2 linked regions of the Lonchura striata genome follow. Each later gene encodes a partner of the first gene's protein in a complex. Links are inferred from orthologs where the notes say so. Each region holds a gene or a part of one and is shown in the gene's direction. Other genes may lie near its edges.

The links. Proteins that work in one complex are often made in the same cells at the same time.
Region 2: the proteins of PARD3 (region 1) and CDH5 are in contact, whole or in part, in an NMR structure (PDB 2KOH), measured with the Mus musculus proteins. The link is inferred for Lonchura striata from reciprocal best matches to the Homo sapiens genes PARD3 and CDH5. Residues at the interface, in NP_296369.2 of Mus musculus: Ala599, Gly600, Leu601, Gly602, Val603, Ser604, Val605, Lys606, Gly607, Arg609, Lys611, Lys622, Ile625, Asn655, Gln656, Met659, Arg663, Met666; in NP_033998.2 of Mus musculus: Tyr774, Gly775, Asp777, Gln779, Glu780, Glu781, Leu782, Ile783, Ile784.

The regions. Positions count from the first base shown.
Region 1 is NC_134603.1:143,725,866-143,733,821, reverse strand, and holds the start of PARD3 (partitioning defective 3 homolog), read left to right. Parts: upstream 1-4,938; 5' UTR 4,939-5,067; coding exon 5,068-5,187; intron 5,188-7,956. UniProt on the Homo sapiens protein: Adapter protein involved in asymmetrical cell division and cell polarization processes. Seems to play a central role in the formation of epithelial tight junctions. Targets the phosphatase PTEN to cell junctions.
Region 2 is NC_134615.1:2,279,310-2,286,854, forward strand, and holds the start of CDH5 (cadherin-5), read left to right. Parts: upstream 1-4,544; 5' UTR 4,545-4,758; intron 4,759-7,545. UniProt on the Homo sapiens protein: Cadherins are calcium-dependent cell adhesion proteins. They preferentially interact with themselves in a homophilic manner in connecting cells; cadherins may thus contribute to the sorting of heterogeneous cell types.

The DNA.
Region 1 (7,956 bases):
TGTGAAATTCTGCAGGGATTTTCTGGTCTCAGCTGTTGACATTCAGTGTTCCTGTTCTCCCTTTTCGTTTCCTCTGTAAAGCTTGCTGAAACTATAACTGATGATGTGCTTTGGGTATAACTAACCTCATACCCCCAAAGCAAGCCCTAGGGTGGCTGGATCCTGCAGAACAGCCTCGGTGGCTGCAGAACAGCTCTGTGGCATGAGAGAAAATGAGAGAAGGTGAGAGATCATTCTCGTCCCAGTGCAGTCCCTGTGGTGGGTGTCCCTCCTGGCAGGCACAGGCTTACAAACTCCTCATAGCCCTAAGGGCAAATAAAAGGAGCTGGTCAGCTCCAATGTGTGACTTAGATTTGTGCTTTGCAGTGCAGGGACATTCAGAACCCTACCTGTATCATTATGTGAACATAATTTTGTTCAGCCCATAGCATAAATATAGTGTGTGGTATGAGAGCAGGCTGAAGCAATTGGTGTCAATGTTTTCCTTATGACATTCCATAGCTCTAGCACACACAAAGATTATTTTGGTATCTCCTGGCAATGCCCCCTTGTGTGCTCTGGACACCTCCAGTAACTTCACTCTTTTCATGCAGCTCATGTTTTTCACTTTTTAGACCTCTAATGATTCTGCTTCCTTACCTGTGGATTGCCTTTAAGGGCCCAAACCAAGAAGTAACTCAATATGTTTATTTCAGGCCTTCCCAGATCTCAGCTCAATAAGCTATTAGTTGATATAAATTAGATAAAGCAATTCCATTTATACAGTTCCATGATGGGTGAAAACCACCCGAGCATTATCAAGAAAACTATTCAAATTCCTCAAACATAATTCTTTTAAAAACAGCAAAATTCAGGAAAAGAGTAGTGAATTTACCTATACTCATTCCTTAGCCCTAAACACCTCCCCACTACCCAAAGTTGCTTGAGACACAGGTTGGAGCCCCTGGAAAGGGTAACAGTCTTGTGGCTTTTCTTGAAAACAATACATTGTTCTTTGCTACAATTTCCTCCTTCTATTATACCACAAGGAAAGTTCTTGTCTTCCCAAATTTGTGTGTCTGCATTCCCTAAGTCGAACATCAATACATGTGTGATTCTGTAACTACCTCTTACTGATCTGAGGGCTTTTCAATCCTGAAATCCCAGACCCTTTTGAGAAATTGTAGAAAATAAATTTTTATTCAGTTTCTTTTTTTTTTTGTTGTTGTTTTTGTTGTTTTTGTTTTTAGACCAGGGCTAGCCACAAATTATTTAAAAAGCTTTAATAATTTTCTCAATCATAAAAGAAAATGATGGGAAACACTCCCTTACTTCTTTGTGGAAGAACCATCAGTATGGCAGGAAAAAAGTCACAAAATATAACATCTGAGAAATCAACCCATTCCTATAGATGAAAGGTTATCCATGGAAAGATCTCAGTCACAGACATGTTTACTTTGATTAAATTTCTACCTCAGAGTAAAATGTAAACGACTCAGAACTTTAAATTCAGAATTTTGAAAAGGAACTTAAGGCTTTACCTAATAACTCAGCAGAAGTGTTACAGCAGGTAGCTATCTTAAATCATTAAAACCTAGTACTGTTTGGTATATCCATAAGGCATTTTCACAAATGGCACTTTTTAAAAAAAGACCTGTAATTCTTCAAGGAATACTCTTGCTGTTCAGTTTGACACTGGTCTTTCTACAGTACTGTATGAACTTTAATGGGCTTAAGGAAATATCTATATTTAAAAGAAACTGAACTTAATACATACTCTACCTGGAGTTGGGGTTTTCTTATGAAACCAGGGAATATCTGTATGCCATGAACAGACTACTAAACCTGAACACATCCAGAATTATTCCATAAAAATTCTCTGATGTAGAGTATAAAGATGGGATAAACTGTGAGATAACTCTGGAAATCAGCATCATTCCACTGTCTGAATAATTTACCATTCCCGTAAAAAAGGCTTTTGATAATCTGCATTTAATTGCAAGATTCTCACTCCTTGCATGTTTGCAGCAGCGGCTTTCAACTGGTTGGCTGTTTTGAACAAAACTTGACTAGTGATCATTAGCAGCTTTGATTCTCTCCATCCCATACTTCACCACCTACTTCTTCCTGCAAGACAGATGATGTTTTCATGGAAATCCTCCATCAGTGTACCATTAATAAATGAATTGACAGGTTCTGTGGTCTGTTAGCCCATGAAAGTTCAACATCCAGAACCATATATATGCCACCCATATTGCAGCCTGGATAGTAGTTGTAATTTTTTTAAACCAGCAACTCTTGCCAATTCTTCTCCTGATTAGTATAATCCTTTTCTCATAATCTCTTATAATAATGTTTTATACTTCATTTACCGTACATAATTAGGCCTCATACAATCTCTCAGCCTTGTTGTATTTTTTTTTAAAGTTCATTCTTGCTTTTAAGGAAGAACAAAACAAACACTATATGTGGTAAATTTTATTTTAAATGCTTTCAGAATGATGTGTGTATAATTTGTGTGTGTATCTAGTGGGGAAGAAACGCAAATCTTTGAGGCTCTCATTCCTGTTAGGTCTATCACTATTCATGTTCAAGTCTTTAAGTTTTGGCCTTAAATCAGATCCCAGGACAGACTTGTTTTCTTGTACGTCATTACTGAATTTTCCTGTTTCACACATTTAATGGAAAAACTATCAATATTTCTTTCTAAACTGTTGGAGGTTTTTTTTGTTTTTTTTTTTTTTTTTTTTTTTTTTTTTTTTTTTTTCCAGGAGACTGTTAGAACAGCTGGGAAAACTGCCAAGCAACTTGTTAGAGACAGTAGGAGCAGGAACTAAATCACAGAAAAACATGAAAAACCTGTAGCTGCGTCTGAACAGTGAAATAGTTACTATCCACCAGAAAGAGTATTAAGCCTTATAAATATCAAGTTTTAGAGCAGTGTGGAAAAACTTCTAATATGCAACATTTTGTTTTAGCAGATAAATGCAAATGACAACTGAATGTGAAACATTACAAAGTCTATGACATAGTAAAGTTCTTGTTAAAAACAGCCTGGGAAGAGCCTCTATTGATTTCACATTTTCACAGTCCTTTCTGCAAGTTTCTTAAGTGATGTATATTAAACCAAGGATTTATAGCTCTTTCATCCTTTCCCAGCAGCTCTTATGATCACCTAGAAAGCACAGAAGCTGCAGGTTAGAGGACATTTTCATCTTTCTCCAATAATAAACTTGATGAGCTATGGCCATAAAACTGCAGAGTGTACTCAGTTGTCTCAGTCATGAGCTGTAAACTGTTTACACCAGTTTTATTTTATTTCTGCCTTTCTGAGCTCATGCATACTGCCTTTATTCCACACAAGTGAACACTGGGGATATGACAAAATATAACAACGCAGGTGTGCTTGTTTCCTGCTTTAAAAGGCAGACTATTTCTTATTTAAATTCATATATATTAGTCCAGATAACTCGGGTGGGTAACTAATAAAACTGGCATCTAAGCTAAAAATTATCTGTAGGTCAGCAAATGGATTCTTTGATCTTGTGAGTGCCCCAAAGCTTTCCAAAACTGAAATTAATAGAAAAAGGTTCTATAGATTTGAATGAAATTGGACATTATTCATGGAACCAAATTAATATAAACTGACTCCTCCATTTTCTATACTAGAAACTCCTAACTAGAATGCAAAGGGTTAGGGATGCCATTCTCACCCTTGACTTAACAGGGCAATAATTCTACCTTTGATGTTTTAAAAACATCATTAATTCTGCTCCATACCTCTGTACCTACTAAACCGCAGACAGCTTTGCCATTTGTACCAGGTTTGAAGTTCTTAAATTTACTAATACTATTGCTAAGGGAACAGGAGCAGACTGCCAGCTGGGACAGCTGCCGGGCAGGGAGCACCAGAGGACACGTGCTGAGTTGTCCGGTGTTGTAGAAGGATGTTGACATTATGTGCTACAAAGCTTACTTGAATTTCACATATTTAGCGCTGTGTGTTCAGGAAAAAGAAAAGAAAGAAGAAGAAGAAAGTTTTTTTTTTTTTTTTTCACTGCTTTCTTGTCCTCCAAACTCTGCTTTCACTCTAGTTAAATTGTTTTACCATATCTACACAAAAGATATATATTGTCAGGCCACACTGAATGACCAATGAACTGTGCAATTCCATTGTCCTCAATGAAATCCGTGGAAAAAAGTGAACGATATCTGCAAACCCCTATGACTTCTGACGGCTTTGCAGAGGAGATTGCTCAGCGGTTCCATTGATGCTGGTGTTACTGACGATGAAGGAGGTTTTGCACAGTGCCGGTCCTGTTGCGTTAACAGATGCCCGAACGACCAGGAAGGCCATCTGATTTCGGCCGTGAGCGGTGGCTGCGTGCCCCGGACACCGGGAGGAACAGCAGAGCACCGCGGTGTCCAGCCTTCTCTGCGGTGCCGTGCCCTGCTTTCCCCGGACCCGCGTACCTGAGGCAGGGCGGCGGCGCCCGTTTCCCCCCGTGCACCGGGACCAGGACTTCGCGGGGCTCCTTGTGCCGGTGCGGCCCCGGCTCCGCATCCCCGGTTCCCGGCGGGGCAGAGCGAGGCGGGGGCAGCCGCACCACCTCGGGCTCGCTCGGGGCTCTCGCTCCGATCGTGTGCGGGCCCGCCGGCTCCCCCGCCCCGTCCGCGCTGCCGGCGCCCCGCGGAGCGGCCGGCTGCCCCCGCCCCGCCGCGCCGCCCCACGCCTGCGGAGCGGAGCCAGCGCCGCCGCCCCGCCCGCCGCCGCTGCGCGCCGGGGCAGGAGCCGGGCAGGTGGCCGCGGGCAGCGCCGCGGCATGTGAGAGCCCCCGGCCCTCGGGAAGGCAGCACCGGCCAGTCCTGCGCTGCCCTCCCTTCCCCGCGCCTGCCGGGCCGGCCGCGAAGCCGGGGCAGAGGCAGGGCGGCCGCAGCGGCAGCCCGGCGGCGGCCGGGGGCTGAGCGCCGCGCCCCGCCGGGGGGCGGCCGTGGCGGAGGGCGGAGGGGAAGAGGAGGAGGAGGAGGAGGAGGAGGAGGAAGGCTGCGCGGGGCCGGAGGGACGCGGGAGCCCCCCGGCCGCACAGGATGAAAGTCACGGTGTGCTTCGGGAGGACGCGGGTGGTCGTGCCCTGCGGGGACGGGAACATGAAAGTTTTCAGCCTGATCCAGCAAGCGGTGACCCGGTACAAGAAGGCGATCGCCAAGGTGAGGGGCGCGGGGAGCGGCGCCCGCGATCAATATGGCGCTTCCCGGAGCGGGGAGGGAAGCGAGGGGGAAAGTCCGGGCTGCCCCGCCGGGGAAGCGGCGGGAGCGGGGCCGGGGGCGGCGGCGGAGCCCGCGGGAGCGTGTGCCCGGCGCCGCCGGGGAGCGGGGCCGGGGGGCTCGGCCCCTCCGCGGCGGCCGGCGCGGCCCCTCCGCGGCTCCCCGCGGGCCGCGGCCCTTTGTTCGCCGGTGCCCGGCGGCCCCCGGGGGCGTCGGTGCGGGAGCCGCCCGAACGCGGCCGGCAGAGCGGCGCGGGGTCCGGCGGTGCCGGGTCTGCCCCGGGGCGGGTGGCGGGGCCGCGGCGCCGCGGAGGGCTGGAAATCCAGCTCCAGGCTTCCCGGCCCTCCAGGCCCGGCGGGGAGGGCGGTGCGAGGGGACCCCGCCGCGGGGGCGTCCGGCGGCGCCCCGCGGGCCGCCCCCCGCGCCGGGGAGGCTGCGAGGGGCCCGCGGCCGCCCGCGGCTCCTCCGCGGCTCCTCCGCGGCCGCCGCCCCCGGGGGAGGCTGCGCGCCAGCGGGACGCTCCGCGGCGCCCCGGGGTGCGGGGGGCGCCGGCCCGGCCCGCGGCGGGGCCCGGCAGCGCCGCGCCGGCCTCCCGCAGCCCCATGTTGAAATCCCTGGCTGTGCGTGTGCAGGCAGCTGCAGACTTGGCTTTCCCTCCATGGGCAACATGTTGGGTTTTGAGTTTCTTCCCTTCCTTTTTTTTTTAAAAATATTTTTTTTCTCTCTTTCCTCCCTTCCTCCCTTTCCCACCCTCCCCGTGCTTTCTTGTCGCTGCAAACTTCTTTTTAATCAACTGGTTTGTTGGGCAGTATGAGCATCGTTGGCTGAGAACTTCAGCAGTGCCCTTCCCCTTTCCTCTGCCTTATCGATCCAAGAAGTTTTAGTGTGCTTCTCTCTCTTATCCCTTCTGAGACATTTTACACTTTTACCGGTTTTACTTTGGCCAATGCACACTGCCAGCCTGTCCTGAAACATGCAATGGAAGGAATATTGTGACCGGTTCATTGATTGGTTTGAAGTGATTCCTGAGAAAATTTTTAAAATCAGCTTTTTAATAGAGAATTGCTGATGCTGGGAGGAGAACAGGAACTAAGTTTCCCATCATCTCCCCACCTAAGAACGTGGGTTTGAAGACAGCAAACATATTCTGATTCTGTCTGGAAAAAAGAGAAAAATGATTCTTGAGGATACGGCTGTGGCTGCATACCAGCTGTCATTCATATACAGCAGTTAATGCACATGGCAGTCTACTTGCATGTAGGAGTCTGGGGCTGAAAGTACCTCTCTGGTTAAGGTAAAGCAGTGAACAGTAAAGTGAGACTGTTTATGGAACACTGAATGCCTCATTGGGCCATTCACATGAGAAGTGTTTGCAGCATTTGTTCATCAGTGTTAGAGCATTAATAAAAATAATTACTTTGCTGTGTTTTTTTCCAAAACTGTGGCCCGTGTAACTCCTGTGGCAATGGGCTGCATCCTGGCTTCCAAGTATTAAGCTGTGTTAAAGGGTGGCAGTTGCATTCTGCAGGATAATGTTAAACCTGGGAGGGATTGAAGTTGTAAGCACAGGGGACACACACAACAGTGACCAGGAAAAGGTTACATCATTGCAAATTTCATTATAGAAAAAAAGTGGCCCACCTGTGGAAGCATGGGAAGGAAAACATGTAACTGACTATGGCCATGTACTTCTTAAAGAGACAGTTTGCAGAGGGGCAGCCAGACTTTGACTGGTTCCTGGTATCAAAAGCTCTGCATCCTGGGTTAAAATGACATGGTGGTTTTATTTATTAGTATTTATATGGTGGTTATGCTAAATGCCACTGGTATGGACTTGAGGTAGCTGCAATTACTGAGATTGTTTCTATTAGATGGAAATTCTGTGGTTGAAAACAGTAGCAGTGTCCATGGGCTTTCTCTGAGTGTTTTATATGGTCACTGTCAAACCTTACTTTTAACTTGAATTTGCTGACGATTTTCTGTGGTGATGTTTAGGTGGGAGGGAACCGGATCTTACAGTAAGTAAGTTTTGTAAGTAGGTGTATAGTGCTGTTTGCTGTGCTTGCAGTAGAGTAACATAGTAATTGTCTGGTTTGGATGCTAGAACTCCACAGATGACTCTATTTTTGTAGCAGTTAGATGGCTCCTTTCTATGCTTGTGTAGCAGATGTGCAAGTCTTCACTTCGTAAGGAGACAAGAGAGGGGACAAAGTAATTCCTGAGAGGATCAAAGTATATGTGGCCATATGAACTTACAGTCTGGCAGCTGGTATCAAACTGACACTGAAATCTATTTCACCACCACTATGCTTGTATGGAAAGAATATCTGGTGGAAGATTATTCAAAATATTTGAATGAAGTCTATGGTTTTCATACTTATAGGAAAAGCAGCATTTCTCATCCTTCAAGAATGTGTGTGTCTACTTTTTGCAGAAGTTCTTCAGGAGAACTCCTTGAGAACTGAGTTGTCAGCCCTTCCCAGATTTCCCCCCGCTTTGTCACGGTTTCCCAGTTGTGATTAGCAGTGAGGCTGCCCAAAACCATGCTTGCAGAGTGCCAGGAGGGAATAGCTTCAAAATTTGACCTCAGTGTTCTGACTTGGTATTATTTAGGTTGAAGAGACATGTTGACAATGGAAAAAGTACTTATGGAGAGCAATCCACATAATAGTACAGTTCTCCTCGCTGTAAAATTTTAGGAGTTAAAGACAT
Region 2 (7,545 bases), on another chromosome or scaffold:
CCCATCTGGAACCCAGTGTCCTCAGGAGAAGGGTGGCAGCAGCCTGGGAGGGGGGTCCTTGTGGTCCATGTGGAGAGCAGTTGGAGTTTAAAGCTGGGCTGCTTCAACAACCAGAGTTCATGAATGAAAGGTGACAATTTTCGTTGTTTTTTTTTAAGGAACAGATTGCCTTGGTTTTGGTTTCTATTTTAAGGGTCATTCAAATTAAAATAGGTATGTTCTTCAGGTGAAAAAAAAAATCACTGAAATTGAAGATTGTTTATCAAAAACATTTGTGGAAGATTTTTTATCAGTTTCACACCTCTACACTTGACCTGCTCTTCCAACTGGAATCACGTGTAAAGGTTAGTGTGCTAGAGTTAGCCTGCAGGCTTGTTGTTCCAAACCCCTGTGGATTGTGTCTTCAGTGAGCACATCAAAGGGATTCATGATTCCTTCCTTCAGCTCACTGGTGACGCAGTTCCATTTTATGGCTTCTGCTCAGGCTGTTATAAAGTTTTAGTACAATACGGGTGCATTTTGTACCATCTATTCTTTCCTGGCATTTCCAAACAAGGCAACAATATCATTTGGGACCATTCCCTGCTGAGCATTGTATTAATTAAGTCCTTGATACTTATGAAGCCAGAGGTCTCATTAAGGAGGATGGGACTGACCCTTGCAGGAGAGATCTGCTGTAGTGAAATGAGTGTGGTACAGCCAGAACAGTGCTCTGGAAAACACCTCAGCAGATGTTATCACACCTCCCCAGCAAGCACCCAATTCCACCAGCTTTCACTGAAATTCTTCAGCAGTTTGGGTTTTTTTTAATTCACCTTAAATTAAAAACAAATCAGAGCTACATTGCTTTGTTTAAAAAACCTGACAAGAGGAAGCCGAGTCAGAGTGACTCCAGGATGCGCACCTCAGGCTGTGACAGAAAGGAAACCAGTGACCAAGTGGAAATGACTGAGAGCACTGCACTGCCCTGATTAAAGGCCCAGAAATAACAACACAAGGTACTGCAGAGATTGTGCCTTCCACACGGAGCAGGAATTGTTATTTTTTAACCTTCAGGTAATGGCCCTTCCAGAGAGGCTGCGGACATCCGTCAGATGCAATTGCACATTTCAGATGGGAGGGATTTTGCACTGATTAGCTGAGCTGCTGGAAATTAGCATTTGGGGTTTATTTTTGTAACTGGGAGCCTGTGCTCTCCCCCACCCTATTTTCTAACTGGTCAGAAAAATCCTGGCACAGTATCAGTGCTGTGACTGAATTCCCAGCCTTGGCACACCTTCCCTTGCGCAGCGCCTGTAACGTGCTGGGTTTAGCAGGACAGACTACTGAATCTAACTTTTATAACTGTTACAAAAACATTCCTGGGCTGTACTTGCAAGGGTAAAACCCTTCCCTAGTGAGAGTCAGATAGCAGGATGAGAATTAAAAATTAGTTGCAGCTGTGTCAATAGCTGCCTTTGGTTTTGATAACTGTGCTTATCAAGAAGGGCTTATTTATCATATGGAATTTCACCATAACTCAAATTACTTGAAGAAAAGGGAAGAAAACTCTTACTTAGTGAAAAGTACAGGGACACTTTGTCCACTTTGCAAGGACTTGTGCTGGTTAGGAAAGCAATGAACTTGTTCCTACAACTATGTTTTCCATGAATTCTTTGAGAACTTTCCAGAGCACTGATCAGATGAGACAGTGAACAAGCAACACAGTGCAAACCTGAAACCAGCTGTAAGCACGAGTCAGCCTGCCCTGCTAGGAACACAGCAAGTAGAGAAACTGGAGCTCCTGATCATTAGATCAATCTCCTCATCAACAGATAAAATCTAATTCTGAAGAAAGGTGCTTTAATCTCACATTCATTCTGTGCACTTATCAACCCAGTAACTTACACAAACCCCCCAAGGGTGTCTGTGCACAGCTAGCACAGATTTAACAGATTTAATGTGGTGAGTGAGGGCTGGGTTTCTGCCCATTATAACACAGTCCTCTCAGCAGTAGCAAGATGACAGCTATTGCTTCAGATTCCCAGGAATGTCAAATCCAAACTATGCAAAGCATCTGTAAAGCAAAGTTGAGTTCCACCCCATCATTCAAGAGAGGAAGGACTATTTTAAACTTTACTAGTCTGGCAAATGGCTCAGTCTGCATTTCAATAACACAGGCTGAACTCAAAGTTTCACAGAAAGACATGCTGATCTAAACCAGACATACCTGACCCAGGTGCCACAGAGCCCCAGAGCAGCAGCTAATGAACATCTGTGGGAAAAGCACTGGAAAGAAGCAAATGATCAGTAAGGGCAGCTGGATATAGCATGGAAGAAAACTCATACAGCAGAGCTGAACTGAAAAGGGCTTGATGCCATTTGGAGACAGGAATGGCAGGAATGCACCATGAAATGATGAGTAAATAATTACCACTCCTTTTGTTCTGCCACCATCTCCATCCATGAGTCACACAGACAGTGTGTGCTAATTGATTTTTTACCTGTTCCCTTCAATTCCACCAGCTGGACTGTTAAATAATATTTCATACCCAAAATCACACAATTAAAAGGTAATTATGTCTGCCAATGTTGTCTGATCATGCAAATTATTTTTCTCATTAGCAGAACTTACTGTGAATTAATAATATTTTTGAAGCATTACCCTCTGGCTTGCAAAAGGCATGAGCCACCAAGGAATTTTTCCAAAGTCTTATGATTTGGCCACAATGATAAAATCTGAAAGTCTAAGATCTACAAGAAATCCTGCTTGCCAGCATTTTGTGTCATCAGCTTTAAACCACAGTGCTTTCACTGCCTAGGAGGGACAGCAGGGCAAATGTCTGGGATCAGCCAGAGGGTACAGAGCACCTGAACCTCCAGGAGCTCTGCTGCTGCTGGGAGAGGGCTGCTAGAATTGGTTCTGCTTTCCATAAAATCTCAATGGACCTCTCCTCATAGCCAGAAAGGAAACCTAAACAACCAGTTCAGCAGAGATGGAATCTATAAAGCATCGTTGGAAGGTTTTAGATGGTAAATCAGGTCTCTACAATTTCAATGGAAGTATCTTCCTCTTAAACTTACAGAAGATTTTCGGTTTTCTATCGAGCTCTGATGCAGAGCATGTGAAAAGGCCTTTAGAAACTTTCTCAGTTCTTGCCTTGAACTTTTTGGGGGAGAAGAAGCAAATCAGATAATAGGAAGGTAATTATCAGACATTAAAACAGACCTGGACAACCTGAGCTGTGGCCTCAGGGCACACAGAGAGAGCCCTGGGGTCTCCTCTTTTCCCTCTGAGCAGAGGGATGATTCCCCTCCCTCCTCCTTTCTTGAATGTCACCCTCAGTCCCAGCCTCACACGGGGACATCAGAGGTACAAGGGGCTGGAAATGCAGCTGGAGCCACTTGCAAGGGTAAATCCTATCTGAGCCCCCTGTCTGCTGTGGGCACCTGATTATCAGGGAGCTGCTTCCTGAGCAGAGATCTGCACTTGCCTGGAAAACCCCTATCAGCATCTCCCTGCTCCTCTCCCAGCCGTGACACAGCTTATTTAACAACTCATTTTCCTGCAAGGAAACTGGACTCTCGGGCTCCTTACACAAGACTGAAGAATTTCTCCTTTTTTTTTTTTTTTTTTTTTTTTTTGTAATAATTAATGTAACAAATTCCTTCAGAAGCCATTCATCTTCACTGAAGATGAATGTACACCATGAAAAAGTGAAACAATCTGACCAACCTCAGCCTCCTGGCAAGGCAGGAAATCAATCCCACCACCTGTGCTGGACTGTAATGACAAATTATTTAACTGTGGAATAATATTAAAAATTTAATTCAATAATTAAAATTACTAATGTCATACTTAAGATACATTGAACATTTGCCTGCATTTATTATAAGTGGTTCCAAAGAGTGCATTTTGAGTAAACCCCACACTTCTCAGTTTTCTTCTGCATTACTTAATGAAAAAAATCCTCTTTCATTTGTAGTGCACAATGCCAAGAGCTACACCCTTGTGTTCAGTTTAACACTGAAGCTTCCCCTTCTGAGTGTCCTGAGTGGTCTCCAGACTTAGAATCACCATAATCAAGATGCTATGAACATTTCTTCTTATGAAAGGCCTGCCTACACTGCCTTGCTCCTCTGGTCTTCACTTTACCTGTGAAAAATACTGTGAAATTTCATCTTTACACCCAGCACTGGCAGAGCTTAGCAGGAACCCAGTCTCATTAACAGGAAGGCTCTACCTTTTTGGTTTCCAGGTATAAAAATTCTTATAGGTAGGACACTTCCAAACTGCTTTGAAAGTCCTGTTTATGCAAAGCAGGCATAGTCTGTGCTGATCAGACACTAAAAGTTTCTCTTAGAAATTTGCTACCTCTTAAAATTCTCTCTAAAACGATACCAAATAACAGACCAACTCTGGTGTTTCTCTCAGAGTTTCCTTTTATCCAGGTCCCTCATTAGAGTCAGCAACAAATAAGTAGATAGAGAAATAATAAGGCTAACTTTATCTTGTTTCCTCCACTCCCTTTTCTCACTGCATTAGTAAGACTTGGAACAATAACAGGATGCCGGGATGCAGGATGGGAAAGGCTGACTCCCAGCTGGAAAAGCTTGGAGACTGGAGAGCTGAACACTCCCAGTATTGCTTAACGAAAAGAGAAGTGGATTTTTCTATTTGATCTTCATTTTTTGTATTTTGCTTAACATTTTGGGATACTGTTGGGTTTAGTTTGCCTGATTTGGTACCACACTGAAGCTCTGCCACCTCGGACTCTGGTAAGAGACAAATGTTATTTTCTGTCCTTCAGCCATGAAGTTCATTTCAAAGGGTTTTTTACCTCCACCCAAATTATTTTCTAATGTCTTAAATAAGTTAAGAAATATCAGCAAATGGGCTATGAATTTTATACATGTCCACAAAATCCTTTTGGCGTTACACTGATGGCACCCGCACCAAGTACAAACAGCAGAGCTCTTTACAATTGACACTGCAAGAGGAAAATCTCTGGCTTTGTTGGGCTATAATATTCCCAGGTTATTAAAAAAAAAAAAAAAAGAGAGAGACATTTCATGGGTTTTTTGAGTATTGCTTTGTAATATTTAGATTGTGTTGCCAAAGTTCATCTATAATGAAAAAGAGGTGGAGAATATGCTGGAAAATGCACCTGTAAAGCCTTTAGGAAGGGATTTCCCTACTGGTGTGGGCAGGTGCAGCTCCAGGACTGTTTTCAGTGAGCAGAGGTGTGCTGGGCTGGGATTTGATGCAAATTTTTTATTGAAGTGGGGTGGATTTGGGGTCTGTAAGGTGGGGGGCCTTCCTGTGCCCTGGGCCAAGAGGTGACAGCCACCGTGTGCACTGGCATATCTGTTAAAAACTGGGAAGGGAGTTTATATAAATCCAGGTCAGTGATTTGGTCCTAATTCATAAGTTTAAAGAGTCCCAGGTACTTTAACGCCATAACTCTGGAGTACCAGGTTTTACAGACCCTGTTCTAAAAGACCAGTAATTCTTATTCCAGAGGTTTCTTGATCTCAGTGGTTCAAAAAGACCCATCTTTTTTTTCTGATGGGTTATTTTATGAGCAGTGGCTTGACACAAAAAGTTGTTTGAAAAGGCTTTTATCTTGTCCTAGAGCAGGTGTAGCAGGTCCCTGAACTAACAAGCTTGCTGTGCAGCTTGCAGAGACAAAGCATGTATGCATAAGAGATGAGCTGATAGTGGTTCTTCTCTAAGAAATCTATTCTGCAATAGTGGGACTGTCAGTGTGCACAGCACCTCACCGTGCTGGCTGTCACACTGTAATAAAGATAAAGGAAGGAAAGAAATGCAAGGGGAAAAAAGATATGGAAGAAGATTAATTTCTGTGAGAAAATCTCTTTCATTCTTAGCTCCCAAAAACATTCCAAGTTGGCTGTTTCTGCAGTTAACAAAGGTATAGTTAATCAATGTTTCTCTGCCTCCTGTGAATATAAATCATTAGATCAGCATTTGTAAAAGCACACAGTATTATCGATGATCATGCAGGAAAATATATTAGACAAAAGCAAGGATGCTCCAATGATTTACAAAAGCTTCTCATCTTAGGTTAATGTGTGCCTGGTAACAACAACCCATATACCAGAAACAAATCACAGAAATGCTGACTTGAAATTTATCTCTGATATCTCCAAGAGTTACCTTTTATCCTTAAATAAAAGGTGACCCACAGGAGAAAAGGACATAGGATGCATTTAGCATACGAAAGCCTTAGAATAGTACAGTATGCTAGAGAGAATAATGTGCATTTACAAGTAATAAAACAAATTAATTTGAAAGCAAAGGATAAACTCAATTTAAAAAGTCATTCCTGATTTGCCCACAAAGCCACAAACCTGGGTTATTTTTCAGACTGCTACAGCTGCATTGCAATGCAACAAGAAGCATTTCCCAAAGCTTTGCTCTTTAACAGAAGCCCGTAACAGTGTTCTTTGAACATTTTTAGAATAAATGTTAACACTGAAATTGAGTCCTGGAAGAAGAGCATGTCCCTGAGCAACATGCAGCTTGCAGGATATGGGGCACAGAGGCAGGGCAGAGTTAAAAGCTCTGCTGCCAGCTTTGCCTCACATCCTGCCTCTGCTGAGGGAAACTGGCTGAAAACAGGATTGAGGTAAAAATCACGGGGCATGGTTCAGAAACCATGGTTCAGAAAGTGATTTACAGCAGTTATGGAACAAAGGACTTCACTGTCCCTCATAAATCAACTACTTCAATTAATATTTCAAATTCAAAATAGAAAAACTTTCCTAAAACTCTTGTTTTCTGGGTATGTGTCTACAGAACTACAGGTTTAAATCAGGCCAGTAAATACTTTTTGTTTTCTAAAAGAGCAGAGGTTCACAGAATCAAGATAACTGATTATTTCTGGCAGCTGACCTTTCTGTAAGGAATCGCCATTGTATTTTCATCATAATTCCAGGTTTTGTCAGATTCTACAAGTTTAATTCAGAGGTTCCAATGTTAGTGCCAAGAAGAAAATAAGAGGTTCCCTTTGTGAGAAATTTGTTGGGCATTAAATTACTTTGGTACTTTCTGTTTGTTTGTTTGTTTGTTTGGGGTTGTTTGTTTGTTTGTTTGTTTTTTAATTTGACAAATGGGTTTCCCTTGTTATCTTTGTGAGTTTACAAGCTGAAAACCCCTCAGAGTTTAGCACAGGTGTGAGCGGTTTCCCTTCCTCCCCGGAGCACAGCAGACAGGGATTACTGGGGCAGACTGGAGATCTGCTGGGACAGAGGTGCCCAGCCCACAGCCACCAGAGCAGCTCCCACACAGAGCTTGGTGAGCCCGGAGCTGGACACTCTTTTGAGCCATGGTAAAGGTTTTCTGTGGGTTTCCCTTCAGGGCTCTGCTCTGCCAAGGGCCATGCAGGTGGAGCAAACACAGAAAACAAACCCTCCTGTCAGGGCCAGGTGCCACGGGCTGTGCTGCTTCCAGGGATCCTGCGCCAGAGCCTGGCCCCTGCCAGAGTCCCTGCAAACCCAGGGGTCCCACCAAGCAATGCTGGCACTAAACCTGTGCAAAAT